Sus scrofa: one gene and its partners. The protein of the gene in region 2 purifies or fractionates together with the protein of the main gene of each other region. This does not show direct contact. Links are inferred from orthologs where the notes say so. Each region holds a gene or a part of one and is shown on either strand. Other genes may lie near its edges.

Evidence for each region.
Region 1: the proteins of SCAP (region 2) and SREBF1 purify together in Homo sapiens (affinity purification with western blotting; 4 studies listed by BioGRID and IntAct, with this or other methods). This does not show direct contact. The link is inferred for Sus scrofa from reciprocal best matches to the Homo sapiens genes SCAP and SREBF1.
Region 3: the proteins of SCAP (region 2) and SREBF2 purify together in Homo sapiens (affinity purification with western blotting; 3 studies listed by BioGRID and IntAct, with this or other methods). This does not show direct contact. The link is inferred for Sus scrofa from reciprocal best matches to the Homo sapiens genes SCAP and SREBF2.
Region 4: the proteins of SCAP (region 2) and INSIG1 purify together in Homo sapiens (affinity purification with western blotting; 11 studies listed by BioGRID and IntAct, with this or other methods). This does not show direct contact. The link is inferred for Sus scrofa from reciprocal best matches to the Homo sapiens genes SCAP and INSIG1.

The regions. Positions count from the first base shown.
Region 1 is NC_010454.4:60,737,814-60,745,636, forward strand, and holds the start of SREBF1 (sterol regulatory element-binding protein 1), read left to right. Parts: upstream 1-3,498; 5' UTR 3,499-3,607; coding exon 3,608-3,626; intron 3,627-4,954; coding exon 4,955-5,386; intron 5,387-5,783; coding exon 5,784-5,971; intron 5,972-6,053; coding exon 6,054-6,191; intron 6,192-6,268; coding exon 6,269-6,490; intron 6,491-7,083; coding exon 7,084-7,198; intron 7,199-7,376; coding exon 7,377-7,594; intron 7,595-7,807; coding exon 7,808-7,823.
Region 2 is NC_010455.5:30,315,815-30,323,588, forward strand, and holds the start of SCAP (sterol regulatory element-binding protein cleavage-activating protein), read right to left. Parts: upstream 4,731-7,774; 5' UTR 4,561-4,730; intron 1-4,560. UniProt on the Homo sapiens protein: Escort protein required for cholesterol as well as lipid homeostasis.
Region 3 is NC_010447.5:6,752,513-6,759,691, forward strand, and holds part of SREBF2 (sterol regulatory element-binding protein 2), read right to left. Parts: intron 5,919-7,179; coding exon 5,487-5,918; intron 4,463-5,486; coding exon 4,281-4,462; intron 2,438-4,280; coding exon 2,291-2,437; intron 1,382-2,290; coding exon 1,160-1,381; intron 1-1,159.
Region 4 is NC_010460.4:2,894,162-2,902,123, reverse strand, and holds the start of INSIG1 (insulin-induced gene 1 protein), read left to right. Parts: upstream 1-3,365; 5' UTR 3,366-3,441; intron 3,442-4,060; 5' UTR 4,061-4,082; coding exon 4,083-4,491; intron 4,492-7,176; coding exon 7,177-7,301; intron 7,302-7,962. UniProt on the Homo sapiens protein: Oxysterol-binding protein that mediates feedback control of cholesterol synthesis by controlling both endoplasmic reticulum to Golgi transport of SCAP and degradation of HMGCR.

The DNA of each region.
Region 1 (7,823 bases), on a different chromosome or scaffold from region 2:
GGCCGGTGTGTACAGTGGCAAAAGGGAAGAAAGCGAGAAGGTGACAGGGGAGCAAGTTCTGAGAGAGGAACAGGCGTTTGCAGGGGGACAGAGGGTAGTGGGAAGGGCCTTCCTGGGAAAGGGGACAGCGGGGGTGGACACACGGGGGCCTTCGGTGCCGCAGCGTTCTGAAAGCAGACAGCGGAAGCGAGGCTCGACGGACGTGGCTGGCCGATGCCGTCGGGCATGGTGCTGGCTGTCCGCACAGCCCGCGGTCTGGTCCCCTATGCTCAGCCCTGTGTTGAGGGATTGGGGGGTCGCTGGGGGGCTCTTGTCATGGTGGTTAGGAGGGCCTCCGAGAGGAGGAGGTGCTGGGGCCGAGCCTTAGAGCTTTGTGCTTGCCTGAGTGGTGGCCGCGAGTTGGGGCAGAGCCGTGCTGGTGTTGGGGCCGAGGGGTGTGGGCTGGGGGGCTGGCAGGCCTGGGTCGAGTCCCAGGTCCTCCACCTGATTGCTAAGGGACCTGGGCCTTGCAGCCTCCCTCGGAGCCTTGGTGCCCTCATCCTGCCCAGGTGCGTCCGGGGCGCCAGCCTGGGGCCATCCTGTTCCAGGAAGAGCAGGTGCACTCGTACCCCTGGGCAGCCCTGCGCACACAAAGCGCAGCCTGTGCCCCTTGCCACATGACCAGCTGAGGACATGCGAACCTGCCGACCCGGTCCTTGGGGGCTCGAGGAGGCACTGCGGGGATGGCTGGCCAGCAGGTGCAGCCCTGCTTCCTTCCCTGCCCGCGCCCTCCCTCCAGCGGGCAGAGCTGCAGAGGGGCGGCTGCTTCATTCCCTCACATGTCTTCACAGCTCCGCGGACGTGGAGACCCGCTTGCGGATCCCTGAGAAATGGTGTGCTTGGCCCTAGCGACAGACAGCCACGGGTGGAAGCCACACTGGCCTCCTCCCACCTCAGGGCCTGTGCACTTGCTGTCTCTACTCAGATGTCCCCTCTTCAGAGAGGCCTGCCCTGACTGCCTCGGTTTCCCCACGGTGCTCGGCAGCACCTGTGCCTCCACTCTTCCATGTATCTGCAGACTGTCGGTGTCCCTTTGCTAGAACGTAAAAGGCCCACAAGGGAGGTCTTCAGGCTGTGTCCCTGTACCCCAGGGCTCAGCACAGGCTGGACATGCAGTAGACGCTTCGGAATTGACAGTCGATATTGTCAGTGAAACAGATCTGGGCTTCATGGACCAGGTCATGTGGGGAAGGTGGTGAGCTCCCTGTCCCAGGAGGCATGTAAGCACAGTTTGGGGTTCAGGGTCTCATGCAGGTTGGATGGGCCATGGGCTCCTGTGATGGTCAGAGCAGGACTCGTGCAGGCTCGTGGTGTGGGGTGTTCCCAGGATTTGCAGCATGGCGCTCCCAGAATAAACAGGCCTTTAGAGGGAGGTTTGAAGGTAGAGCCAGGGAGGGCGGGAGGGGGCTCAGGTTTCCTGTTGGGTCCTGATGGAATCCGGGCAGGAGAGGAGGAAGGAGAGGAAAAGGAGGGTCTGGCTTGGGGAGGGCGGGAAGGTGAGGAGGGGGGCAGGCGGGCCCACCTGTGCCTCTCTTCCCTGCGTTAAGGGCACGCGGGCCGCCCCTCCTGCCGGCAGCTGAGCCTGGGCTCACTGGAGGTTGGGCCCCACTTGGGGGGAACCCTGGCCAGCCTTTCTCCCGGGAACTGGGGTGAGACAGCGGGGAGCTTCCTTAAACAGTGTGCCCTGGGCGCCTTTCTCGCCTCCCAGAACCCCCTCCTCCGAGATCAGGGGTGAGGGACTCCCCTGGGACTACACAGCAAGGGAGGGCTGGGGCGCAGGTCCAGCCCCTCTTGGCCCTGGCACCCGGCTGCTGCAGAAATTGGCTCTATGTGTGTGTGTCACGGGGGTGGGAAGTCCAGTCGGGCCATGAGTTCAGGGGTGGCCCTCTGCATGCCACCAGGTGCCTGTTCCTCACTGCATCTTAGCTTAGGTTGTGTCTCCCGGCCTGCCTGGGGTGGGCCCCAGGAGGTGGCGGCAGGGCCGCTGGGAGCCTCTCCTTCTGCCTCCTTGGTCTGGATGCGTTGGGGCAGGGCATGGCCAGGTGAGAAATGGGAAGCACAAGAGTGCGGAGAAGGGCAGAGGAAGGTGGCTCCGGTGGGGCGGCCGGCCACGGCCCTGCTGGTCCACCTGCCAGGTCCTGGGCTCACACACGGGAGCACAGTGAGGACAGGACCTGCCGTGAGTTTGAATTCAGACCTCGTGTCTTCTGGTCTCAGTCAGGCGAGGTCAGAGCCTTCCCAACAGCAATGTCTTGTGTGACTTTTCGGGTGAGGGCCTGGCAGAGGAGAGAGGGAAGTGGAGGTGCTGGAGAATTCTGCTGCCCTCGTTACCCTCCCGCACGGCCGTGGCCACGGCAGGAGCCGGGCAAAGGGGGAGCGTGTGTGTGGGAGAGGCAGCCTCCTGGAGAGGGAGAGCATCCGGCCAGGGCTCTCCGGCCCCCACCTGCCACCGGCCCCCACCTGCCACCGTCGGCTCCATCGGCCCCTCTAAGGCTGCGGGAGACCAGGAGAGGGAGCAGGGCTGGGCCCAGCTGTGGCTGGAGGCCGGCTTGAGCCCTGGGGTCTGTTTGGCCGCAAAAGCCCAAGCTGGCAGCCTGGGCTGCTGGCCAGGCTCTGTCCCTCTGAGTGTGTGGCGCTCTGACCTTCGAAGCCGAGAGAGGCCCAGGTGGCCCCCCAGCGACCCCGAGCCTGTCACCCTCCGCCCCAAGGCCTGCCCCACCCCACAGCGAGTGAGTCAGGCTCCCCCCTGAGACTGCTGGGGAGTGTGGGGGTGGGTTCGCCTTCCCGGACCCCCACCCCAGACCCTGGCCCCTCTGCAGAGGGCGTCAGCTCTGGCTGTGCACTTGCGGTGGGGCTGTCCCTTCCGCACTCGCTCAGGCTCCAGGCAGTGGCCCGGCCCCGGCCCACGGGGTGGGGACTCACGCTGGGGCTGCCGTGAGGGGGAGGTCCCCGCCCCCACGGCCAGACAGCCCTTCGCCTCACTTGAGCCTGCACCCATTACTTGTCCCCGTCGATGCAGGGAAACGTGCTCGTCCCATTTTCCCGGAGCGCACTGCGACTTAGCGCGGTTGAGACCCGCGGCGGAGGGCTGGGCCATCCCTGGCCCACCCCCGGCCCCGCGCCTCTCAGCCCCCGCAGCCCCTTCGGCCGCACTCTCGGAGATGGCGGGACGTGACCGCCAGTAACCCTGCGGACGTCGGCGCGGGGCGGGTTAAGGGCCGGCGTCCGCGAGTAACCCCGGCCCTCTGCGGCCCCGCGGGGCGCAACCCGAACCGCGCGGTGGGGGTGGGGCGGGGCCGGGGCGGGGCCCCGGGAGGCGGTGGCGCGGCCGCTGATTGGCCGCGCGCGCTCACCCCATGCCCGGCCCGCGGCCCCGGGGCGGGGCCGGCCGGCGGGGCGGGGCCCGGGCGGGGCCGGCGAGGGGCGTGGCCGGCGGCGGGCGCTCGGGGCTTTCGCTGCTTTAAAGCGCGGCGGGCCGGCGGCCCTCGGCCGGTGGAGTCCGCGCGCGGAGACCGGCGGGCCAGCCGCCTGGACGCCCCGAGGGGCGGCGGGCGCGGGCCGCGGAACCATGGACTGCACGTTCGAAGGTATTTTTTGAGGACCCCCACCCCTTTATAGCAGAGCTTCCGTCTCCGCCGTGGGGTCCGTGCCCCCGTGCGCAGGGGGGCGGCCGGAGCTCCGAGTGAGAGCCCGCTCCTGAGGGGAGGAGCACCCGCTCCCGGCTCTCCGGGGACCTGGCGGGCCCTTCCCACCTCCGCAGTCACCCCCACCCCAAGCTCCGAAGCGAGAGGGCAGCTCTCCCACATCCCCTGCCGCCCAGGGAGAAGGGCCGCTCGGGCCCCCCTTTGGGGGCGTATGGTGGGCTTGCCGGACGGACAGTGGAGCCCTGGGTTCGGGCGCTTGTTCTTTCTGGGCCTCAGTTTCCCCATCCGTGGAAGGGGCTCAGGAAGCCTGGGCGAGGGGCTCCAGCCGGTGGAAGCAGCCTGTGCCAGTAGGCTAAGGGGTCTCCGAGGGCCCAGGAGGGCTCAGCCTGGCACCCCCCTGCCCTGCTCTGCCGGAGGTGTCGCAAGGCCCCCTGCGCAGTCACTTTCCCGCCGGAGCACCTGTCAGGCAGTGTCGAGGCCCCTCTCCTGCCGCTGGCTGCCTGCCTGCGGAACCTCTGGCTGCCCTGCCACAAGGGCTTTCATCTTGCTGTTGTGCACATGAGGAAACCGAGGCCCAGGGGCAGAAGCCACTGGCCCACACCCCACCGCCCGTCGGTGGTGGGCAGAGCTGGAAGCTCAGGCTGGGGATCACACTTGGGGTTCCCACAGTTTGCTCATGGGCCTGCAGAGCACTCCGACCCAGTGGGTGGCTCCCCCAGTGGGTTAAAGGGCCCTGGGCTGACCCAGCCGGGCTGCTACTTGCCTTCTGGGGGAGAGGGCCCGTGGCCGGGCTGGGGCTGTGGGAGGGAGGGTGTCCCAGGCGGCACGAGGAGGAAGGGGAACAGACAGCCAGAAGCGACTGCTTCTGTGGAGCGGAAGCCGAAGCCCAAATGGCCGGTTCCGAGGCTGCCTGGCTGCAGACGGGGCTTGGGCTTGTGCCCAGAACACGCAGGGATGCACTGGCTGGCGCACGCGGGGCAGGGGCTGGCTGGGGCTCCCCAGAGGGCTGGGTTGGGGAGGCAGCTCTGGAGCTGGTAGTCGGGGCCCAGGCCTCGGAGGGCCTAGCCTGCGTGGCACTGGCTCGTCCAGTGTCGCAAGGCTGTTTGATGCACCAGGCAAAGCTCCAGATGTCACAGGGGCCAGGGCACATCTGTGTCCTCGAGCATGGGCGCCCGTGTGTGGCTTTCTGTCTTGGTGGCGTCGCTCCCACGTGTTACCACGGTGTGGACGAGGGCCGCGCAGATCCGTGACGCCGCCTCTCCTCCCCTCAGACATGCTTCAGCTCATCAACAACCAAGACAGCGACTTCCCCGGCCTGTTCGACGCGCCCTACGCTGGCGTTGCAGGAGGCACGGACCCCACCAGTCCTGATGCCAGCTCCCCAGGCAGCCCGACGCCGCCTCCTTCCACCATGAGCTCCCCGCTTGAAGGCTTCCTGGGGGGGGCCAGGACGCCGCCACCGCCCCCCGTGTCCCCAACCCAGCCTGCACCCACCCCGCTGAAGATGTACCCGTCGGTGCCTGCCTTCTCGCCTGGGCCGGGCATCAAGGAGGAGCCAGTGCCACTGACCATCCTGCAGCCCCCCACCCCACAGCCCCTGTCTGGGGCTCTCCTGCCCCAGAGCCTTCCAGCCCCCGCCCCTCCGCAGTTGAGCCCTGCCCCCGTGTTGGGCTACCCCAGCCCTCCTGGAAGCTTCTCCTCAGGTAAGGGGGCGTGTGGAGGGAGGGGGCAGCGGAGCACAGGGTCAGGGGGCTGCTGTGGTCTGACTGGAGGTCCCACTTGGTGGCCTTTGGGAACAGGGTCCCTGCTCTGCTGCTTGAGGCGCCCCCGTCCCTAGCAGCACCCGGGCTCCTGTTGCCGGCGCACTGCCCCTGCTCCCCTGGTGTCCGCAGCAGCGCTGCCCTTGCGCAGATAAATGCGTGGCTGGGAAGCCAGCACACTTGCATCAGAGCCCCAGGCAGGGCCTGTCCAGATAGGCCTGAGGCCACAGGGGTGGTGACTCATCCAGGGTCACACGGTGATGAGGACGGGGCAGGACGGGGCGGGTTGAAGGTGGGTCAGGGCGGCCTGTGTCCACAGCCCCAGCCTTTGTCTCTGCAGCGACCCCTCCAGGGAGCACCTCACAGACGCTGCCTGGCCTGCCGCTGGCCTCTCTGCCCGGGGTCCCGCCCGTCTCCGTGCACACCCAGGTCCAAAGTGCGGCCCCCCAGCAGCTGTTGACAGCCACGGCCACCCCCGTGGTGTCCCCTGGAACAACCACTGTGACCTCGCAGATCCAGCAGGTCCCGGTGAGGGGGCTGGCCAGGCACCAGGGAGGTGGCAGTCCCGGCCAGCCCCTGAGCCCCCAGCTGAGCCCTCTGCCTTCCTTAGGTCCTGCTGCAGCCCCACTTCATCAAGGCGGACTCCCTGCTCCTGACGACCATGAAAACAGACATGGGGACCCCTGTGAAGGCGGCGGGCATCGGCTCCCTGGCCCCTGGCACAGCCGTGCAGGCAGCACCTTTGCAGGTGGGCAGCTCGGGCCAGGCAGGGGGCATGGGGTCTGCATGCATGCCTGCCTGCCCTAACCGTGCCTGGGCCCGCAGACCCTGGTGAGCGGCGGGACCATCCTGGCGACGGTGCCTCTGGTAGTGGACACTGACAAGCTGCCCATCAACCGCCTGGCAGCTGGGGGCAAAGCCCTGAGCTCAGGCCAGAGCCGTGGTGAGAAGCGGACGGCTCACAATGCCATCGAGAAACGCTACCGCTCCTCCATCAATGACAAGATCATCGAGCTCAAGGACCTGGTGGTGGGCACGGAGGCGAAGGTGCGGGCAGAGGCCCTGGCAGGGCGGCCCTGGGGAGGGCCGCCTGGAAGGCAGAGGCGGGTGGGGCTGAGCCTGGACAGCCAGGGCCCAGGGGCTCCGTCTGTTGAGCTAAGCTTCATGGAGGCGCGTGTGCTGCGGGCTCTCCTAGGCGCTGGGGACTCAGCAGGAACAGACAGGCACCCCGCTGTCAAGCACCTGTGCTCCTAGCAGCGTGCCAGGGGCGCCAGCAAAGAGGACAGATGGCCTGAGTGCTGTGCCAGAAAGAACGAAGCAGGAAGAGGGATGGTGGGAGTTTCACATCTGAATCGGGGTCGGGGGGGCCTCACGACGGTGTCGTGGTCTGAAGGGGGCTCGGGAGCGAGGCATGAAGGTGGTGATGACAGTGACGACAGTTAGTCAGACGCTGCTGTCAACCCTTAGGCCCAGCCTGGCAGGTAGGTTCTACCAGGGCAGGAACCTTCCGTGCAGAAGGAATAGCAGGTGCAAAGGTCCTGAGGCCGCTGTGTTGCGGAGCAGCCCCGCTCCCTCTGGCTCAGGTGCCCGCTTGTCTGGCCTGACCAGCCACCTGTGCTGTCCCCCTCCTACCCCTGCAGCTGAATAAATCCGCCGTCTTGCGCAAGGCCATCGACTACATCCGCTTCCTTCAGCAGAGCAACCAGAAGCTCAAGCAGGAGAACCTGAGTCTGCGGACTGCTGCCCACAAAAGCAGTGAGTCCTGGCCTCTCTGGCCCCGCCTGCAGCCCTGTCCCCACCCTGGTCTCACCTTAGGCTCTGGCCCTGCCAGGGCCCTTAACCCCTTCCTTGGCCTTCGCCTGGCCCTCCGCTCAGATCTGGGGCGAGGTGGGCGTGGCGCTGCCGCCCAGCCCTGCTCCTTTCTGGCCTGCAGAGTCTCTGAAGGACCTGGTGTCCTGCAGCAGCGGAGGCCGCACCGACGTGCCCATGGAGGGTGTGAAGCCGGAGGTGGTAGACACCCTTAGCCCGCCCCCCTCCGACGCCGGCTCGCCCTCCCAGAGCAGCCCCTTGTCCCTCGGCAGCAGGGGCAGCAGCAGCGGTGGCAGTGGCAGTGACTCAGAGCCCGACAGCCCGGTTTTTGAGGACAGCCAGGTCAGGCCCCGCAGGTCGCCCCTCCCCGTCATCTGGCAGTGTCCTCTGAGCCACGGGGCTGGCTCAGGCCCGGGCACGTCCTGCCTCGCGTTTCGCAGACAGAGCCCTGTGGGGCCCCAGGGTGGCGCACGGAGCACTGACCCCTCCGCCCCAGCCCAGCTTTCTGGCCACTCCCGCCCCGTCCTCACCCCTCCTGCCCCGTCTTCCCCCCAGATGAAGCCAGAGCAGC
Region 2 (7,774 bases):
TCAGACTCCAATTTTTAAAGTAATCTACGACTGGTTGTTAACACAAAATAACCTTTCTCTGATCATGGAGAGTTACAATGAACTTCACTAGACCTCCAACTCAGAAACAAAGGGTTAGCACACCTTATATATATTCAGAAAATACTAAATGTTGGAGTTTCTGCTGTGGCACTACAGGATCAGAACATCTCTGCAGCGCCAGGATGCAGGGTTAATCCCTGGACCTGCATAGCAGGTTATAGGATCTGGCGTTGTAGACTTCCTGTCGTGGCTCCTTGCTTACTGAACCCGACTAGTATCCATGAGAATGTGGGTTCGATCCCAGGCCTTGCTCAGTAGATTAAGGATCCGAAGTTGCTGTAGCTGCAGCGTAGGCTGTTGGCTGTAGCTCCAATTCAACCTCTAGCCTAGGAGCCTCCACATGCTGTGTTGCTGCAGCTGTGGTATAGGTTGCAACTGTGGCTAGGATTTGATCCCTGTCCCTGAAACTCCATATGCCATGAAGCAGCAAAAAAAGAAAAAAGAGAAAATGCTAAATATCAAATAACCCAGTCATTCTTAATGTTTTTGATTATGAACCCCAAACAATGAAAATTCAAGCATATGTCCTCAATGTACGCATATTTAAATATAAATATTTATATTATATTATAAGTGTATGTGTATTATATTAAATAAATACATTTATATTTATAGCATTACCATGCTAATATGAAGTGTACATTATAAAATACATAATAGGAGTTCACATCATGGCACAGTGGAAACAAATCCGACTGGGAACCATGAGGTTGCAGGTTCAATCCCTGGCCTCACTCAGTGGGTTAAGGATCTGGCGTTGCCATGAGCTGTGGTACGGGCTGCAGACATGGCTCGCATCTGGCGTTGCTGTGGCTGTGGCATAGGCCAGCAGTTGTAGCTCCAATTAGACCCCTAGCCTGTGGGTGAGGCCCTAAAAAAAAAAAGAAAGAAAAAAAAAGAAAAATACATACTAAATTTGCTTTGTTTTGTTTTGTATTTAGGTCTGCACCTTTGGCATATGGAGGTTCCCAGGCTAGGGGTCAAATCGGAGCTGCCCCTGCCAGCCTATGCCACAAGCACAGCAATGCAGATTCTGATCTGCTTCTGTGACCTATGTCAACAGTTTGTGGCACTGCCCGATCCTTAACCCACTGAGCAAGGTCAGGGATCGAATCCACATCCCCATGGATACTAATCGGGTTTGTTACTACTGAGCCACAATGGGAACTCCCATAACAAAATTTCAATAATGATAAATTAAAAACAAAGACTGAGAGTTCCTACTGTGGCTCAGTGAGTTAAGAACCCAACTAGAATCCATGAGGATGCAGGTTAGATCCCTGGCCTCACTCAGTGGGTTAAGGATCTGATGTTGCCACAAGCTGTGGTATAGGTCACAGATGCGGCTCAGATCTGGCGTTGCTGTGGCGTAAGCCGGCAGCAGCAGCTCGGATTTGACCCCTAGCCTGGAAACTTTAATATGCCACGAGTGTGGTCCTAAAAATAAAGAATAAAATAAAAATAAACAGACTGTTTTTTGTTCTCTTTTTTCTCCTGAGACCCACGTGCACCCTGATGCTTAGGCATACCCCCTCTTTGGACTCTCCTGCAAAGCTGCATAACCCAGCAACCCCACAAGCATTTTCAGGTAGTACCCCTGACCAGTCAAGTGGACAATGTCAAAGACAACAGCGAAATTTTTCTTTGACTTTTTTATAAAAAAAATTTAAGGCCGTACTCTCGGCATCAGCAAGTTCCCAGGCTAAGGGTCAAACTGGAGCTACAGCTGCTGGCCTACACCAGAGCCACAGCAATGCAGGATCCGAGCTGCATTTGAGACCTATACCACAGATTGTGGGTGAGATCCTTAACCCGCCAGGGATCAAACCTGCATCCTCATGGATACTAGTTGGATTTTTAACCCACTAAGCCACAATGGGAACACCCAATAGTCAAATTAATGTCTCCTTCCTGCTGAGTTTCATTATCTCTTTCTCAAGTCTGTGACACTGAGTTCCTCCCTTCACCCCAACACCCTCTTCTGCTACCTTTAACGTGGAAGACAATGGAGAAGACTGCGGACCAGCAGGTGCAAGAACAGCATAAAACACGGAGTCTATTGTTAGACAAACCTGGGTTTGTACCTGGCCTCTGCCTCTAACTCACTACGTGACCCAGGGCTGGTCAGATAACATCTCCAGAACTAATCAGTAAAAGCACTGATGATAACAGTGTCATCTCCCCTGGCTATTATGATGATTAAGTGAGATAAACTTATTAGAGCACCTAGCATGAAATCTAGACAACACAAGTGCTCAATAAATATTTTACCCAGAATTATTCCTTCAGGTGGCAAAAGTCACCTGGACTTTATCCAACTCAGGAAGGAAGCAAGTAACAGCAGAAGTAGCTAGGTGGTAGAGTCCCGCAGACCTGGCTTGAAAGTCTGACCCCCAAAGACAACCTGGGTGACCATGGCAACTCAGTTTCTCTATGCAGGGGAGCAGTCTCATCTGTTCGATGGGAGTGGTGACACAAACTGTACATGGAAGTACCTGTCAAATCCAGTAAAACTAACACTGGTGGCCAGCAAATGGCCACCAATGGTGAGGGTTAACAAAGATCACATAAACCTAAGTGTCAGGCCAGGGTCCTTGGGACACATTCAAAGTAAGCATCCCTGCAGTCTATCACCAAATGCTAATAAATGAAATGTGTACCAAAACTCACAGGTACAGCTCATTTCCCAACTGGACAGTTTACTTGTTCATAGATCACCTTAAGCAACTCACAATCTTTATGCCTCCATTTTCTAGTCATTAACTAGGAGATTTTTTTATACCCACCTCTCAACAGTGAACTAATCCAGATGATGGCAGAGGAGGCCCCAAAACCAGTGATTATAAAGCACATGGAGAACAATGGAGAGGTGTTGTTTTTGCCACAACAGCAAAAAGAAAACAGAAAGCTCTCAAACACCAGACTAATTCACAATAAGTGAGAAATAATCTTTTGCATTTCAATAAATGACCAAAAAATTGAATGTAGAGATAAATTCATATATATCTTGTGTTTTTTACATCATGTGCCCGGGGGGATGCTGCAAATGTATAAAATACCTACAACTTAAACTCTATCAACATACAGGTGGGGAGTTCCCGTCGTGGCTCAGTGGTAACGACCCCAACTAGTTTCCATGGGGACATGCATTACATCCCTGGCCTTGCTCAGTGGATTAAGGATCCAGTGATGCTGTGAGCTGTGGTGTAGGTCGCAGATCCTGTGTTGCTGTGGCTGTGGCCTAGGCAGACAGATGTAGCTCTGATTCCACCCCTGGCCTGGGAATTGCCATATACCAAGGGTACGGCCCTAAAAAGACAAAAAAATTTAAAAAAAGAAAAGAAAAGATACAGGTGTGGAGTTCCTGAGTGGCACAGTGGGCTAAGGATCCAGCATTCTCACAGCTGTGGTGCAGGTCACAACCAGAGCAGAGGTTCCATCCTTGGCCTGGGAACTTTCACATGAAGTGAGTGGGGTCAATACTACTAGTAGTACTAGTACTAGTACTACTACTACAACAAGTGGTCAATTAGGCATTATTCAGTAACACCTAAAACATACAGCCAAATAGACACCCTTGACCTTGACTACCTTATAAAAGCTTCCATTTTTAGCACAATACTCTGAAACGGCAGCACACCAATAAGGACACCGCACAACCAAACTCCACAAACATGTGGTGAGAAATCCAAAGTTAGCATCATTAATGAAATCTTTTCCATGTCCTCTTCACAAAAATTATTACAAAATCCCCAGAAGGAGTTTAGTCCCACAGCTCTGTCACCACGGGTGGGGGAGTAGGTGGCACAAAACAGAAAACTCTTGCCAGGAAGGGATTCTCTGCTCCCCTCGGCCAAGAGCATTTTCGCCTGTACAACGACCTGCAGTTTAAACAGTCTGGATCCAGGGCTCCCTGCAACTAATTTTATCCTGACGTTACAAGCCTGGATGACATACTGAAGAAATAAAACCACCTAAACACAGGCAACATCACTGAGCAATGTTTAGGTATAAGCAATACAGAAAACTAGAAGCCAAGCAAAACCCAGCAAAGAAGCTGTGCGTTGCCTCTTGATTAGATCTTGCAGGAAAAAACAAGAGCGGACAGCGTCCTCGAACTCTGGGAAAACCAGACATTAAAGGAGGTTCTAGAACCCGCAGCTTCCCGGGGGACCGCGGGGCCAGGGGGCACAACGGCGCGACCTCCTCTCGAACAGCGGTCTGGGGTTCCAGGGTGAGGTCTGTGGGCGCGCGGCTGGCCCCGACGGGGGGCGCGGTCGGGGTGGGGGTGGGGACGCGGTAACTCGGCACCCTCTCCAGGCTGCGGTCTCCCGGCCTGGCCCGCATGGCTGCTGGACAGCGCCCACGCCCGCTCGCCGGTGCCCCAGGCGGCCCCTATCCCGGAACTCCTGGAGCCGCGCGCCAAAGGCCCGAGCCCCGGCCCGCGGACAGAAGCCGTGTGGACGCGCGCAGCGGTACCTGTGGCGGAAACAGCTCCCGGGCGGCTGCAGCGGCGACGGCGAGGACGGGGGCGGGACACGGCGTGCGCGCTCCCAGCCCGCGCGGTCCGGTGCGTGGCGCCCGCCCTCTCTCTCCCAGAGGCCCAGTGCCCGCGCAGCTCTCCGCCCCTTCACCTCTCACCTCCTACCTTTCCCCTCCCGCCCCCGCCGCTCTTCGCACGTGCGCCCAGCGGCGCGCGCATGCGTAGTCCAGTCCTCGCCGGCGGCTCTCGCTCGCCCCCAGGTGGACATCGGCCAGTTGACCCGAGGGAGAGGGGCGGGGCAGGGTCGGCGAGCGGGGCGGGGCGAGGTGGACAGACCTGAGCACAGCACCAGAGTTTTAACCACATTACTGGGAATTAGCAAGAACATGTGCGTGAGAAGTTCCTCTTGTGGCTCAGTGGGTTGTGAACCCGACTAGTATCTATGGAGATACAGGTTTGATCCCTGGCGTCACTTAGTGGGTTAAGGATCCAGGGTTGCTGCGAGCTGCTGTGGAGGTCTCAAACACAGCTCAGATCCTGCATTGCTGTGGCTGTGGCATAGGCCGACAACTGCAGCTCGGATTCAACCCCTAGCCTGGGAACTTCCATGTACCATAGGTGTGGCCCTAAAAAGAAAAAAAAAAAACAACACATGATACCCATTTTTCTTTTCTTTTTTTTTTTGTCTTTTTGCTATTTCTTTGGGCGGCTCCCGCGGCATATGGAGGTTCCCAGGCTAGGAGTCAAATCGGAGCTGTAGCCACCGGCCTACGCCAGAGCCACAGCAACGCAGGATCCGAGCCGCGTCTGCAACTTACACCACAGCTCACGGCAACGCCGGATCGTTAACCCACTGAGCAAGGGCAGGGACCCAACCCGCAACCTCATGGTTCCTAGTTGGATTCGTTAACCACTGCGCCACGACGGGAACTCCTGATATGCATTTTAATATCTAGGGCCAGTACCCTGTTTTTCTCTATCCTGAATTCCCCTCAGGATGCACCGTTGATGGGAAGTGTATGGCTGCAGTGACTGATGGCTTGACAATGGGCCACATTCATTGCTTATTTAAAATAGTGAAATGGTAGGCAATTTTTTTTTTTTTTTTTTGTCCACGAGCTCCATTTAGCTCTATCTAGCCAAAGCTCAACCTTACTTTGTGTTGCTCCCCATGGTAAATTCAAAATTAAAAAAAAAAAAAAAACTAAATGAAGTTTAGGAGTTCCCTTCGTGGTTCAGTGGTTAACAAACCTGACTAGGAATCATGGGGACACAGGTTCAATCCCCGGCTTTGCTCAGTGTGTTAAGGATCTGGCATTGCCGTGAGCTGTGGCGTAGGTTTCAGACGCAGCTCGGATCCCGCATTGCTGTGGCTGTGGTGTAGGCCAGCAGCTGTAGCTCCAATTAGACACCTAGCTTAGGAACCTCCAATATGCTGCAGGTGTGGCCCTAAAAAGAAAAAAAAAGCAAAAGAATAAATGAAGTTTAGGGATCATCCAGAAGGGATAATTCCCAGTACATAGATTCCATGCTGGGCCAAACCTCATGACATTCTTGAAAAATAGGGGCTGGGTCTATTTTACAAATAAAGAAAACTTCCTTAAGAGGGGAGAATATTCGGGAGTTCCTGTTGTGGCTCAGTGGTTAACGAATCCGACTAGAAACCATGAGGTTGCCGATTCAATCCCTGGCCTTGCTCAGTGGGTAAAGGATCTGGTGTTGCCATGAGCTGTGGTGTAGGCAGGTGCCTAAAGCTCCAATAAGACCCCTAGCCTCAGAACCTCCATATGCTGCAGGTGTGGCCTTAGAAAAGACAAAAAAGAAGGGAGAATATTTGCCCGAGGTCACGCTGATAAGTGACCAAGCAGGCAGCCACAGGACTCTGGGTTCCAGCCCACTGCTCAGCTACCTCAGCCTGTCAGGGACACAGGGAAGGGTGATTCATGAAGATAGAGCTCTGTCTTCGCAACCGCTTGCACTAATGATCATGCTCCTCATGAATTAAGCATTAGTAATAGAAGCTCACAACGTGATTAAAGTGGAAAGGGCTGCTTCAGATTCCCTCTATTTGAATTCTGGTTCTGACACACGGCAGAAGCTGCTTCGTGGCCAGGAAAATTAACTTAACCTCAGGGAAACTGGACATAAGAGTTAGGTCCCAAGATGCAACAACCAAGGAAGCTGACCTCTCTGGTTTTCAAAACAATTAAATCAGGAGTTCCCGTTGTGGCGCAGTGGTTAACGAATCCGACTAGGAACCATGAGGTTGCGGGTTCGGTCCCTGCCCTTGCTCAGTGGGTTAACGATCCGGCGTTGCCGTGAACTGTGGTGCAGACGCGGCTCGGATCCTGCGTTGCTGTGGCTCTGGCGTAGGCCGGTGGCTACAGCTCCGATTTGACCCCTAGCCTGGGAACCTCCATATGCCGTGGGAGCGGCCCAAAGAAATAGCAAAAAGACAAAACAAACACAAACAATTAAATCAGTCTGAACACATGTAAAATGCTTAGATTCCAATAAGCAGCAACTGTTCTAATAAACATGATAGTCAATAAAAATATGTAAAATCTCCAAAAAAAAAAAGTAAAATCTCCATGTTGCCTTTATTAGCTGTCAATTTCCTACCATGTGTCAGAAACCAGGGATGTACATTTATTCTCTGCACTACCAAAGTTAAATTAGCACATACCTTTAAACAAAACCATAGAGGCAAATATGACAAGGAGTATTACAGAGGTCATAATAGCAGCCAATAATAACAACAAACTGTTGAATGTTGGCTCCTTGCCAGAGATGGGCTTTACAACATATTACCTTGCGTAATCCTTATGATGGCCTTTAGAGGCAGGTAAGATACACTCCATTTCAAGGATGCAAACTCTAAAGAACCCAGAGCTTTAACAAATTGTTGAATTCATGCAGTGGCAGCATCAAACGTCGATCTGACCAACCCCAAAGCCCCTGAACTTCTGCCTCTGTGCTTCCAAGTGCTGTGAGTGGAAGGGAGTGGGATAGCAGGGAACCAGAGTAGGAATCACGAAGAGGATGATGTAGAAATAGGACCTAGCAAGGTAAGAGTTTGCCAGGTGATAAGAACAGCAGCAGTGGAGTTCCTATTGTGGCTCAGCCAGTTAACAACCTGACTAGTATCCATGAGGATGCAGGTTCAATCCCTGGCCTCGTTCAGTGGGTTAAGGACCTGGCGCTGCTGTG
Region 3 (7,179 bases), on a different chromosome or scaffold from region 2:
GGAGAGCAGAGGCCCTGAGCTCAGGTTCTGGAGTGGGAGGTGCAGGGTTCAGGTTCTCACTTTTAACTGTGCAACCCAGGACAAGTTACTCAATGTCTCTGAGCCTCACTTTCTTTCTTTTTTTTTTGACTTTTTTTTGCCTTTTCTAGGGCCGCTCCTGAGGCATATGGAGGTTCCCAGGCTAGGGGTGGAATTGGAGCTGTAGCCACTGGCCTACGCCAGAGCCACAGCAACGTGGGATCTGAGCCGCGTCTGTGACCTACACCACAGCTCACGGCAATGCTGGATCCTTAACCCACTGAGCAAGGCTAGGGACTGAACCCGCAACCTCATGGTTCCTAGTCGGATTTGTTAACCACTGCGTCATGATGGAAACTCCCTGAGCCTCACTTTCCTTCTCCATAAAAGAGTGATAATGACAGTTTTTGAGTCATAGGCTTGCCGTGAGGCTTAAATGAAATAATATGTGTAAAGAGCTTAGACTCTGGCCTAGCACACAGTAACACTAAATATTAGCTCTTACTCCCACTTCTTATAATAATTCTAGCATCAAAACAAACTTTAAGGAAAACAAATGGCAAGCAAAAGACCAGAGCACTGCTGGATGGTTAAGTAAAGGTATATTAGTACCTTTCAGATTTGCAGGCTAAAAGGAAAATTACATTTTCTTGCAAAATAGAGGTAAAAATAAACAGATAATAGGAAAAAAAACTCCTATGTGCCAAAGCCAAAAGATATATTCAGTGCAACACCAGAAAGGTATGAAAAACCAATCTACTCTACCTGCTCTTGGCCATTTTGTCTCTTCCCTTAAGGTTAAAATATTGCGAGCCATCCCTGAATACAATCAAACACATGTCAAAAATGCCATTAGCTGACTCAAAGGTACACTCGGCCGGGTACTTGGCCTTCGGTGAGCAGCCGGTGTCTGTGACCATCACTGCAGAGCAGAGTCAAAGGTCCAGGCAGGCCACTGCTTTACCAGCTCCCCGACGGTTAATATTTAATCATCTTGGAATTTAAGACACAGAGATGCGTTAATAAGAAAGCACCTCTAACTTTCTTGCCTTCACTCAGCTTGGGCCTGGCTCTTCCCTGAATTCCCGCAGCAAAGACGGGAGAGATGATGGGCACAAACGCCATTCTGCTTGGCACCTACCTTGGCATCTGTTCCCATGACCAGGTCCTTCAACTCAATGATTTTGTCATTGATGGAGGAGCGGTACCGCTTCTCAATGATGTTGTGTGTCGTCCGCCTTTCTCCTTCTTTGGGGGGCTCGAGCTGCTTGACCCCCCCAGGCACCTGCTTAATGGGCACTTTCTCTTGCCCCATCATCACAGGCATTGTGGTCAGAATGGTCCCATTGCTGCCCACCAGGGTCTAGAACAGACACAGATGCAGAGCAGAGGGACTGCTTGGTGAGTCTGAGGAAAGCGACCTCGAAACACAAACCTGCTGGCCTCGGCCACGTGGCACCACCTGAAGATGCGCTGTGTGGTCTGACTGCCTTCCTGGGTTAAATCAGGTTCAGGAGCCTTAGGAGCCACCGTACCTCAGGTGCTCTGCCCCTTTCCAAATCACTGCTGATTAATCACAGGCCACACTAGCATTAGCACAGATAAATGCTAACCTTTTCTTTTCTGTTTTTGAGTAAATGCTGACCTTTGAGGTAGGGGCGTCTGAATCACGTCATATGCTTTGCTGTCACGCTGTTACCACCCCGCGTTCGCACGTGGCGCACCAACCACATCACTGGCCCTAAGGAAAGCTTTCTCCTGGTGTAGGACACATTTTTCCTCTCTCATGCCGGAGAAGTAACTTACTGCATTTCCTCATACAATTCGACCATCAAAAGCTCAAGGGCAGAACTGACAATCAAGAGAGGCTTTTTATTAAACAGACTACAGAGGGAGGGATCCCCCTCAAACCTGCTTTCCCACTCTTTGTTCCTATTTTCATTAATTTTAATTTTATTTTTGCTTTTTAGGGCCGTACTTGCGGCATGTGGAAATTCCCAGGCTAGGGGTTGAATCGGAGCTGCAGCTGCCGGCCTGCACCACAGCCACAGCAACGCCAGATCCTTAACCCACTGAGCAAGGCCAGGGTTCGAACCCACATCCTCACGGGCACTATGTCAGGTTTTCAACCTGCTGAGCCCCAAAGGGAACTCCAAAAGGGATGATTTTTCAATCTGACTCTAGAGCTTCTGCATCTATTCAGCATCTGGAGATTTCGTTAACATCTCTGAGGCCTAACACCCCCAAGAAAGGGGGTGGGGGCATCTCTTACCGGTACTTGAAGGGCAGCCGTCTGGATGGGGGTGGTGAGGGCAGTGAGGGCTGGGTTCTGGACTGCAGCCATGACAGGGCTGCCATCTGTCTTCAGTGTGGTCAAAACAAGGGAATCGGTTTTGATGATCTGAGGCTGCACCAGGACCTGGAAGCCAAAGGAAGAAAAGGAAAAGGAAGGTAGCATGATTTTTCTGTCTTGTATTACTTCTTTTTCTTTTTGTCTTTTTAGGGCCGCACCTACTGCATACGGAGGTTCCCAGGCTAGGGAGCTAATCGGAGCTGCAGCTGCCAGCCTATACCACAGCCACAGGAATGCCAGATCCGAGCCGCATCTGCGACCTACACCACAGCTCAGGGCAATGCTGGATCTTTAACCCACTGGGTGAGGCAGGGGTTGAACCCACAACCTCATGGTTCCTAGTCGGATTCGTTTCCCCTGCGCCAAGATGGGAACTCCTCTACCTCGTATTACTTCTTACTACATGGACCCTCTAGGAAAGAATGATAGAAGTTTTATAAAACTGAGAAGACAGATTAATTCCTAGGTGGAGGGGGAGAACGAGTACCATTAAAGAGGATTCTGGGTCCTAAGGCTAAAGGCTGAGGAGAGCAGAGCCAGTGGCCCAGCAGCAGGGAGAGAGCAGGCAGGGCTTGGGGTGGATGGCGGAGGGAGAGAGCCGATTTCAGGCAACTTAGGAATGCTTAGAAACATGGCTGAGAAGCAAAAATGGTAAACCTCAATTTTTGTTGTTGTTGTGCTTTTTAGGGCCACACCCATGGCACATGGAAGTTCCCAGGCTAGGAGTTGAATCAGAGCTGTAGCTGTCAGTCTATACCACAGCCACAGCAACTGGAGATCTGAGCTGCATCTGCAACCTACACTGCAGCTCATGGCAACACCGGATCCTTAACCCACTGAGTGAAGCCAGGGATCGAAGCTGCATCCTCATAGACGCTAGTCTGCCAAATCACAATGGAAACTCAATTTTTTTAAGAAAAGGTAAATTACTTCCTTAGTAAGAAACAATCTAGGAGTTCCCGTTGTGGCACAGTGGTTAACAAATCCGATTAGGAACCATGAGGTTGTGGGTTCGATCCCTGGCCTTGCTCAGTGGGTTAAGGATCCAGCATTGCTGTGAGCTGTGGTGTAGGTGGCAGACGCGGCTCAGATCCCACGTTGCTGTGGCTCTGGCATAGGCCAGTGGCTACAGCTCTGATTCGACCCCTAGCCTGGGAACATCCATATGCCGTGGGAGTGGCTTAAGAAAAGGCAAAAAGAAAAAAAAAAGAAACAGTCTATGGAGTTCCCACTGTGGCTCAGGGGATTAAGGATGCAACATTGTCTTTGTGAGGATGTGGGTTCAATCCCTGGCCTCGCTCAGTGGGTTAAAGATCTGGCATTGCCACAAGCTGTGGTGCAGGTCACAGATGAAGCTCTGATTCAACCCCTAGCCTGGGAACTTCCATATGCTGCAGGTGTGGCTGTAAAAAGAAAAAAAAAAAAGGAAAAGAAAGAGAAAAAAGAAAAAGAGAAAAGGAAGGAAGGAAGGGAGAAAGGCAGTCTGCTATAGTACAGACTTAAAGATATTCTGGCACACTTCTTTCCAGTTTTGTTTTTTTTCTCTTTTGGCTGTGGCATGTGGTAGCTTGACATGGGATTTCAGTTCCCAGACCGGGGACTGAACCTGGGCAACAGTATTGACAGCACCCAGTCCTAACCACCAGAGCAGCAGCACTCCCTCTTCCCAGGTTAAAAGCCCTTGTACGTGTAGCGCGTACACCAGCAGGCACCGAGTTTGTGGGAGTGCCAGTGCTCACCGACAGACGCGACCTGCCTGGGGCTCAGGGGTGCCTCGCTAAGGTTCAGGCACCTCTACCTGCCCTACAAGCTGCTCCCTTACACTCTGCTGGCCTCAGCACACAGACCAAACCAAAGACCAGCCCACAGCCCCAACTGGGGCCACCCTGACTCCCTGTCAGCCACCTACCGGGACCTGCTGCACCTGGGGCGCAGCAACTGTCTGCACCGTGGCCGGGGCGAGGGTCTGCAGCGTGCCGCTGGCCGTCTGCGTCAGCACCCGCTGCGCCTGCACGGTCTGCACCTGCTGCTGGATGGTGACCGGCTGCACCTGGGAGGACGTCACCAGGCTTTGGACTTGAGGCTGAAGGACTTGGGAGAAGAGGAGCAAAAAGTTACTTGGACGAGGACTGCACTCTGTGACTGTGGCTGCAGCACGAGCTGAGGACGGAGGGCCTCACGCTGCCGCACCTTCCCACCTACTGCGCAGGAAGATGTGCACAGCCATCTACAAGTTGGTTAGGGGGCACGAACACCCCATGAGGGCTGCATCAACTTCCAAGAGAACAGTACAAATGATTTTACTGCTCTGGGTGCTGGGCTGGAGGTGAGGGAGGCTCATCGGCAAATGACTGCACCCGGCAAGGGAGTGAACAGACTCTGGGAAGGAACCAACACCTCCCTGGGGCTTCATTTCCTCCCAGGCAACGAACAGCAAGCGTGCTTTGGGATGACTGACTCTGCCTTTTGCTTTTTGCCTCCCCAGCCCTTAAATTCCCTGAAGCCCACAGAAGAACTGTTAGAGCCTCTGGAATTAGTGGAGCAACAGTAATCCCACCCAGGGCTCCCCACGGGGTTGGAGGGAAATGTGATGAAAGGTGCTGGGACACAGCACAGCACCCAGAGTCACTCATTCACCAGTGCACACCAAGGGCCCACTGTGAGGCCAGCGACACAGAGACACGGCGCCTCGGTTAAGAAGCATAGTCTTCTCCATACTGGATGCTCAGGAGATGCTTGCTGGATGAGTGGTTCTCAACCCACTGGTGCTGAGATGTGCCTGGTGCCTGGGTAAGTTTCAAGACTAATTGATTTAAGCCTCCACCTCGAGTTACCAGGACGGCCCTGGGTCTACTGTGCCTGCTGGAGTCTTTGACCAAGTATCCTTGAAGCAGGCACAGCAGACATCTAAGCTGTTTGAAAAGGCTGAATGTGAACTGTTCTGGCACCACTCGTCTTACTGCCAGTTACCAAAGCCTCATTCAGACGGGACCAAACTGACAGATCCTGCCAGCCCCAAGGGGAAAGAACGCTACAGTCTGCCTCGCGAGTGTCTGCACGCTGGCATGTAAGCTTCTGAACCAACCAAGCACTCCCGTGTGGAGTTCGGAGTCACCTTGGAAGCTGGTAGCTGCATTCTGGTATATCAAAGGCTGCTGGATGATCCTCGTCTGGGGAGCGGTGCTGAAGGTCGGGGTGATCATGACTGTCTGCTGCTGCAGCTGAGCAGGAGGCTGGGGCTGGGGCTGGGGGCGGGGCTGGAGAACAGGGGTCGCCCTGGGCGGCGTGGGAACCGAAGTGGGGGGAGCCTTGACTTGGAGGGCTGGAGCCTGGGGGGAGGTGGTCGAGGGAGAGAAGGAAGGTAACGGGACCTGGCTGAAGGACCGCTGCATTGAGGGGTCCCCGGCTCCGCCACCACTGCTCCCGCCACTGCTGCTGCCGCCACTGCTGCTGCCACTTCCACTGCCGCCCGGGAAGGAGCTGCACAGCTGCTCTGAGAACAAGTCGGGGAACTCTCCCACTTGATTGCTGACAAACTGCAGCATCTCTGTGAACAAATGGAAAGGAATACTTTCATTGCCACCCAAACTGCCTACTAACTTTCAAAATGCCTTAAGAAATGAGGCATGAAATCCAACAGCTTTCCCAGGACCACAGCAGAAATGGGTCACCTCCCTCCCCTAGGGGGATGCCACTGGGCCGAGCTGGCCCACCAAGGCAGACTGGGACAGAACTGCATCTGTCTGACCTCCTTCTCTCTCCCTACCACGTCCAGGCCCTTCCTACCCACTCTGCTGATTGTCTGTATCAGGCCTAATAGGAGCTATCTCTGCTGGGCGAGGGTAGCTTCTGGAGGACACTGCTGGTCCCTTTCTACAGCTGGGGTCATCGCTCTCCTTAGTCTTTGGAGCTCTGAGGCCTTTGTGCTGTGAAGCCACCTCCAGTCTTGGCATTGCTCCCCATGGCGGAGCAGGAGCCATGTGGTTCTGGCTGCACAGCTGTGCCAGACCCTAACTCTGCTCACCGCGGGCAGGCCCTGGGCCTTCTCTCCAAGCTGAGCATGTCTCTGGGCACTGCTGTACCCCGGAAACACTCAGGGGTGATGAAGTCCACGGTCCCTGAGTCACGGGACTTTAGAGGTGGAATGGATGGGAAGATCCGATGCCAAGTCCGTAACAGGGAAATAACTTGGCCAAGGTCACACGGCTCATCGGGACACGGCAAAGATTAGAACCCATTCTCTGCCTCCCAGCACCCTGGCACATTCACGGTCCAAAGGTCATCCAAAGGTCAGGGCAGAACAACCAGGGCCCTGGACTCCAGCTGTGGAGGCCTCACCCTGGCCTCCTGTGGCTTTGTCCCTTCCCTCTGGGCCAGGAGTCCGTGGGGCCATGGGAATGCGTCCACCTGGAGACCGTGCCCCCCTCAAGATCACGCTTCAAGTAGCTAGGAGCCCAAGCCTGCTTCCAGAGCCTCCTCCCCGGGCTCCTCCTCGCAAAGGCTGATCCAGAGAAGTTAATCATGACGGACAACTCCTCTCTCATGAGTCCTTCCCTCCACGGCGCTGCTCCCCATTAGGACTCGGAGCCTCGACTTCATCCCTGGGATTTTCAGTTCTACGATTCCCTCCCCGTCCATGTTCTCTCCCCTTTCCTCTCCAACACAGGCCCATGAAGCTGCTTTTTGTTCCGAAACTGTGGCGCCCTCCTTTCAAAACCCTCAGGGCCACAGGATGTGCTGATCTGGTCACCAAAATGAACAAACAAAAACGGGGGGGGTGGAAAGCCCCCAAACACGATCTCCATCCA
Region 4 (7,962 bases), on a different chromosome or scaffold from region 2:
TCCCTGGAGATAAGGGCGTTTTGAACACTCAGCGCACTGACGTCGAGCCTGTGGTCTCCAAGAGAGGAATGTGCGAATTCTTCTGCTGTCAATCTCCTAAACGGACCTCACCCACGGGGCCAGACTCCAAGGACCCTCAGGCCAACCACCACCCCGGGGACACAGTGACAAATGCTACAGAGGCTGAGGCCATAGAGACAGCCCTCGGCAGGGACCCGACAGAACGCAGCCCACAGGCGTCCCTCCCACCTTCCCACAGGTCCACGGGGCCTGTGCGTGGCCCCTGGAGGCTGCTGTGCACAAAGTCTCAGTACAGATGCGAGAAGTGATGGAGAGTCAGAGGCTGGGCTGTATCACCAGCGGCTTCAGTAAAGAGGAAAAGGTGGCTGAGTGAATACAGACCTTAACACACCAATTAGCCAACGGAATTGACAGCCCTTTTCCACGCAGCAGACAGACAGCACAGGAACCCGTGTTTTTACGAAGCGTGTACTTGGGCACATGGAGGATTAAAACGGAAAGATATCAGAATAGTCAGCAAGGCCAAGCAGAACGGCAGGAGGAAAAATGGTGAAGAAAACCATTCTAGATCCCAGCAGACAGACACACCTTTTTCTGGCTGTCAGGAATCCCTGCATACAGCTGCTCGGTACCAAGTAAAGAGCGGTCATCTCAGCTTACTTGGCCTCCTGTACCTGAACAGACCAGGTTCTGAAAGCACATGTGCCAGAGAGAAGCTTCCTGCATTTGCTGGTGCTTCCCAGTGGGATCCATGACTCGCCGACATTTCAGGGGTGAGGCCGTGCTGTACGTGCATGTCCTTGAGGTTAACAGCTTGGTTCATATCAGGGCCTCTCAGCCCGTGTGTGCAGGACTTGAGGCCGATGGAGGGCAGGGGAGGCCCAGCACAGGCTGATGGTTGAGGAAGGAATGGCTCTGGCCATACAGCCCCCCACTCTATGGAGGTATCATCGTTTATCTAACCATAGCTGGGCAGCTTTTTCTGTTCTGGCGGCCACCCAGTTCCAATGTTACTGTGACAGTCTGTGCATGTTCACACACACCCCTATCTTCACGCACTTGTGTACGATGCATTGGCGATGATGGCCAAGACCTGGATTCCTTGACGTCAAAATTGCTTTGAACAAAGCGTATGGTGCTGACTGGGACAGAGGAAAGCCTGGCGCTGCTCACCCGGAGGCAGAGCAGAGGATGGGGGCCCCTCTCCAGCCACTCTTGCTTTGTCTGGTCACGCTCGAGAAAAGAAAACAAGTCCCATTATTAGCCAAGGCCGTCTTGATGGAACATGATCGTTTGTGAGAGTCATTTCTGCTTATAATCCACAGAGACGACACTTTTATTTATTTATTTATTTATTTTTGTCTTTTAGTCTTTTGTTGTTGTTGCTATTTCTTGGGCCGCTCCCGCAGCATATGGAGGTTCCCAGGCCAGGGGTCGAATCGGAGCTGCAGCCACTGGCCTACGCCAGAGCCACAGCAATGCGGGATCCGAGCCGCGTCTGCAACCTACACCACAGCTCACGGCAACGCCGGATCCTTCACCCACTGAGCAAGGGCAGGGACCGAACCCGCAACCTCATGGTTCCTAGTCGGATTCGTTAACCACTGCGCCACGACGGGAACTCCCGACACTTTTAATTCATGCTTGAATCATAAAAGATGGGGTTAAATTCCTGCTGGCGTCATGGACAGCGGTAGGACATCTACACAACCAGGGTGTGTTTGGCTGGTAAGGCAGAGGTGACAGGGAAACCAGTACTGATCCTGGGGCAACAGTAACACACTAAAAAGGCAAATGCCTTTTTTTTTTTTAATTTAAAAATTTTTTTTCGGCCACTCCCTGCCATTGTGGACGATCCCGGGCCAGGGATCAAATCCGTGCCACAGCAGCAACCTGAGCCACAGGAGTGACAACGCCGGATCCTTAACCCACTGCGCCACAAGGGAACTCCACGGCAAATGTCTTCGCACAGCGCTGCCTGACCAGTCACCTAACGGATCACCCTTGGGGGCCAGGAGAGTGAGCCATCCACTGCAGGCATGGCTTTTCTTTGTAGTCTCCTGATGGCCATCACAAATTCATGTGAATTCCCACCCCATCAGCCCCTAAAAATGAAGTCTGAGAAATGTTGATACCTCAGGAAGGTTTTTTCCAACCTTCTGCCATAAAAACCACAAACCCTGAGGTACGATGCCACACAATGCAGTACTTGACACCGCCTAAGCCTGTGAGCTCTCTTGACCCTATTAGAGCACAGACTTCCTCTCACCTGCAGAGAGAAAAGGCCGCACACTTGCTCTACTGTCTTTCCAGGACATCTTAAGTATCTTGCTCAACAAAATGTGGGTTTCCAGGTGGCACAGGGCCTGCCCTGCTATTTAGATGGTGTGACCATGGGGCAAACAGGATATAAATACATTACATCAACAAGATAAAACAGCGTTCTATTTTTTCTAAGTGGTTCTGATGGTTTGTTTCCCACTGAAAGACAATTCGAAACGAGAAGAAACGATTTTATGAATGACGATTTCATCATTTACATTTTCGTAAGTATTTTATGTCAGAAAAGTTTTCTGAACCACGCTGGTGGCAGAAAAACATAAAAGCACCCTTAACAACACCTAGATCCTTGCACGCAGCATACACAGCTCTCGTCTCCGAGCCCTCGCTCCCTGCCAGCACCTGCTGGTCGCTGCGCACACGAACCCGCTTTGCATGAGCAGGTGCGGCCACCACTGAGAGAGCTGACAAGGACCAGAGGTCAGAGCATCTTCAGGGCACAGGCGGCTGCAGAGTGACCAAGTGGAGCGGCCGCAGGGGAGAGGCTTGCCAACCGCCACGCCTGGGTGAGGGTCCGGCGACCTAGCTGTTCAGCCGCCGGACTCCAGGCCCGCGGCTGCCAATCCCTGGAAATCGCCCTCTCTCCGCGGTCCGCCGGGAACCTGCGCGGGGCGCCTCCCACCCGGGGCCCCGGATGCTCTCGGCCGACCCCTGCCTGCCGTCGGTGCGGCCCCCGCCCCCGCCCCGTCCGGCCGCGCCCAGTTCCAGCCCCCGTCCCGGGCCGGGAACAGCCAGTCCGCCGCCGGCCGTCCGCGCTCCCGAGCCAGTGCGCCGAGCTCGGGGCGGCGGTGGCGTGTGATGACGTCATATGGGCCGCCCGCCCACGATTGGCCGCGGCCGCCTCACCAGACCGTGAGCGGCCGTGCGCGCGGCCGGGGCGGGGCGCGCATGGGCCACGCCCCGAGAGCGCGGGCGGGGTGGCGGGCCCGGCCGGGGTCACGTGAGCAGCGGTATCACCGCCCGCCTTATAAGCTGCGCCGCGCGTGGACGGCCGCGGGCTCAACTCCAGGCGTTCTGGGCCGCGACTCTCCTCGGCGACCTCCTCCCCCGGCGAGCCCGCGGGCGGGCGCCCTTGGCCAGGTACGAGGGTGCGGCAAGGGAAACTGGGCCGGGAGCGGTGGGGAGCCCTGGGGACGGGGATGTCGAGGTCCCGGCAGCCGCCCCTCTAGACGGCCTTCCATTGGGGTCCTCAGCACCCACCCTCGGGCCTGGGTGCGCACCCTGACTCCAGCCCCAGCCGCGGGGTGGGGGACTGCATCCCCGACATCAGGTGGGCTCTGCCAGGGCTGTTCTCCGTCCGGGACGACCCCAGCAACTTGTCCTGGGGCGGCCTGCCGCTGGCTGGCCTCTGCCTCCTGCAGACGGGCGGATTCTGAAAAACTTTTGGACTGTACGGCCCAGAACTTCAGGGCTCATACAAGGAGGTACTGCAGCGGGATCACCCAGGTGTAGCTAACACCTGGCTGTGGCTGCAGCCTGTGCATCACCCAGGGCCCGGGTGTGGACAGGGTCCTTGCAGCCCCTCCCCCGCAGTACTTGCCCGTGGGCTACCCTGTGCGGCTGACTCCCTGAGACTCGGGGGTTTTCCTGGCCAGTGAACGTGCCCAGAGCCATGTCTCTGGGCCTCTCTGAACCTGCCCTGTCCCTTGGAAGTGAACTTGATCGGGATTCCCTCTCCCCACCCCCGTTTTCCTTCTAGGAAAGCCTGTCAGGTGTGGCTGATGCCCAGACTGGACGACCACCTCTGGAGCTGTCCCTGTGTTAAGGGCACGAACCACAGAGGCCACCCCAGGGCCAGTGCCAGAGGGCAGGAGGCCAAAGTGGGGGAGATGATCAGCTCCTCTGTGTCAGGCCCCTCTCTGCTGGTGGCCCACGGTGCCCAGGGCCCTGACCCCTCTCATGCGCCTCAGAGCACTGGCATGGGGAGCCATGGTGGCAGCGGCCACACCAACAGCTGGCATCACCACCTGCTGCAGAGGAGCCTGGTGCTGTTCTCGGTGGGGGTCGTGCTGGCCCTGGTGCTGAACCTGCTGCAGGTCCAGAGGAATGTCACCCTGTTCCCCGAGGAGGTTATTGCCACCATCTTCTCCTCAGCCTGGTGGGTCCCTCCCTGCTGTGGGACGGCCGCTGGTGAGTAGAAACAAACGACGTCTGTCTGGTGAAAAGCGGTTTTCAGCCTGTGGGAACCATTTGTGTGAAAATGGAACCATCCACAGAGGAGACTGTGCATCCCAGCGACTGTGTTTGGGGAGGGGGCTTGGAGGCTGGAGGAGGCCCGGTGGTGGAGATGGCGGGGAGGCCACTGGCTGCTTCTCGCCCGCTCGTGCCAGGCTGGCCAGGTCCTTCCCTCTTCCTGACCCGGCCCTGAGGCCAGTGCTGGGGGAGCCCCGCAGCTGTCATCCTAACCAGCTGCCCGGATTGGCCGCGGGCAGGACTGGTGAGCGGCGGGGCTGGAGTGCCATTGGCTGCCCCGGGGAACACGCTACCGGCCCGGTAACTGAAAACAAACCGTCACGTGGGCCCAGTGGGCAGAGCTGCTGCCCCAGCCCAGCGGCCTCCTGCTCTTCCTTTTTTGGAACAGCCCAGTGAACGTGGCCAGAGCCTGGCCTTGCCCCCACCGCTGGGCTCTGGGATGAAGGAAAAGGAAGTCTCTGTTTAGAGTTTGGACAGGAGCCACCCTGGCCAGACCCAGTCGTGACCCCGGGGCAGCAGTCTGCTGTGGACAGGTGGACTGGCTGTTTGGAGTAGAGTTGCTCAGTTATTTGGTTGCTCAGTTATTTGGTTTTATAAAAATGGCTCAGAAGGTCACTCAGTTCTTCCGGTCACACAGCATTTGCTGTGGACGAATTAATGGATGAATGGACACCTGCCGGGTGCTCTCTGTGGCCTCCGCCCGCCTGGCTGTAAAGCACGGAGCAGACACTCCCGTCGGACAGCCTCGCGTTGTAGCTCCCCTCTGTGAACTGCCGACCTCGCGGGCTCTGATCTTTCTCCTTTTTTCTTCTTTTTTTGGCCGCGGTGCGTAGCCACTTGATGTGGGGTCTCAGTTCCCAGACCAGGGACTGAACCCCGGCTGCAGCGGTGAAAGCGCCACGTCGGCCCCACGGGCCACCAGGGAACGAGCGCCCTGCCTCCTGTTCCGTAGGCTGTGCTTCCTTTGGTCCTTTCAGCAGTGCTCTGCTTCAGCGCCACTGCACAGAGGCGAGAACTGAATCAGAGAGGTGAAGCTCCTGTGTCTGCAGGGGCACAGCGGAGTGACAGGTCCCCGTTCGCAACCCTGCCTATACTGCCCCCTGGAGTCTGGGTGTGTCCCCTGCACCCTGGAGAGGGGCGTCTTCTCAGCAGGCTCACTTCAAACTGCAAGGAAGCAGTGGGCTTGGAGTGGAGCTTGTGTCCTAGGCAGGATGCCTCATGACGGGGACACTATGGTGATGAAGCAGAGAGTGGAAGGTTTTTCTCTTTGTTCTCAGAAACACTGGCTACTGTTGTTTTTCTAACCCCTTTAAGTTCATGGCTCTACTCTTAATCCTTTTGGAGAAACATCTCTTTCTATTCACATTTGGCACAATAGTTTCTTTGAATCAAAAGCTTGATTTTTAAAACCACTGAACCATTTTAGTTTAGGCTTGATTTGCAATTGAAGCTTCAAGGAATTCCAGGCATATCTGAAACACAACTTCTCATACCTTACTCACTTTTTTTTTTAAACCATCCGTCAAGGGCATAAGGGGAGAAATTCCATAGTACATTTTCACTTATTTAGCTTTTAACCTTAAAGGGCAAGATTAAGTTATACTGACTTGAGTCACAGAATGGTTGGGGTTCATTTTTCAAAATGCAAAAGCAGAACTGGATAAAATGTAATATGAAATTGAAACTGAAACTCTTTCATTGAATGCTGGGCCACAGTGTGTTTCTGCCCATTGAATGCTGGGCCACAGTGTGTTTCTGCCTGCCTCTCTGTTCAGGAACCTGAAATGGTTCCGTCTTTGCTGGGACGGCAGGTGCTGCACGCTCATGAGCCTCAGCAGCGGGGTGACCTCACGAGGGCCCTGGCACCACACCCTCTTCTCTCCTGCTCTTCCTTCCTTCGACTTCTCTCTGGAGCGCCACGCCTTCCCCCGTCTGAGTTCTCTGTGAAGTCCCACGGCTGAGGACAGCCTCACTCTTCTGAGCACACTACGCGCTCCCTCCTCGGGCTTCTCGGTCCATAATCCTCATCATCTTTCGCTTGAGGAAACAAACAGGAGGCGTCCGGTTCCCTCCTTTCCCACGCGATGCCCCGCTCAGGGCCTGGGCTCTGGGACCGTCGGGTGTGGCTGCCCCGGGACCCCGACCCACCACAGCCCGTGCTCGGGGGCTCCTGCGGAAAATGCAGGAACCCCTAACAGGGCAGTGCTGCCTCCGGGGATGGCGGTGAAGGCAGATCCACAGAGAGGTGCCCTCATCAGTGTGGGTCGTGATCGATGGCAGGCCGTGCTGTGGCCTCCGGGCCCTCATGGAAGCCCCTCTGCACTGAGATGGAGCAACACCGATGCAGGCCGAAGGCCGACTGCACAGGCGCTACAGGGTCCTGCACGTGCTAAGTAGCCCCTGCTCCATTCCTGCTATAGGGCAAACCAAACTGCAACTTTGTTTTAAATTTTTATTGTTTATACTCAAGAAGGATAAAAATGTAAAATTAGTTTTAATTGAAATATCATATTGTAGCCCTGAAGTCAGGAATGTCTGACCAGCGTGTTAATAATTGCCGCAGAGCCATCACCCCACGTCGAGGCCGTTTCTCTAACCCTGCTGTCTGCCCTTCTTTCACAGCTGTCGTGGGCTTGCTCTACCCCTGCATCGACAGCCACCTTGGAGAACCGCACAAGTTTAAGAGGGAGTGGGCCAGTGTGATGCGCTGTGTAGCGGTTTTCGTTGGCATCAACCACGCCAGTGCTGTATCCTTGAGTGGGTGTGTGGTCCAGAGCAGCTTCTGGTGTTACACGTTGAATGTTTCATTACTCGTGTGTGTGTGTGTGTGTGTGTGTGTTTGGCCAGTGCCAGCTACAGTTCTTCTGTACCACAGTTATAAGCAGAGCCACAAACAACGGTGACAACGCCGGATCCTTAACCCCTGGTGCCACAAGAGACCTCCTTAATGGGTATACGTTATCTCGTGAGCAGTTGAACAGTCTTCTGGGAGTATTATTTTTAAGCACATTGCTCAGTTTTCTTAGTTTGTTTTGTAAATGCCGTTGCATTTCTACCTAGCGTCTTCCCACCGTGAAGCCCTGCTCTGGTGGACCAGGAAGAAGTGGCCAGGGGGTCACTCTTCATGGGGCCACTTCTTTGGAGACCCCAGAGGGCCCAGGCCAGCCCGCAGCACCGGCCCTCGAAGAGGGTTCTTGGTTGAAGCTGGCCGCAGGATGAAGTTTGCCAACCCCAGTGGCATGCGTTACACAGAACACACGGCCTGTCTGTACTCAGTGCGTTTTTCAGGAAGACAGCCATGGTTTTCCGGGTCTCAAAAGATGTGCGGCTTCTTTAGCACAGCTGGAGTATGTTTTTAAGAGTTACCCTTTCTGAAATCGGCTCCACCCTGACTTTAATGCTAAGGGT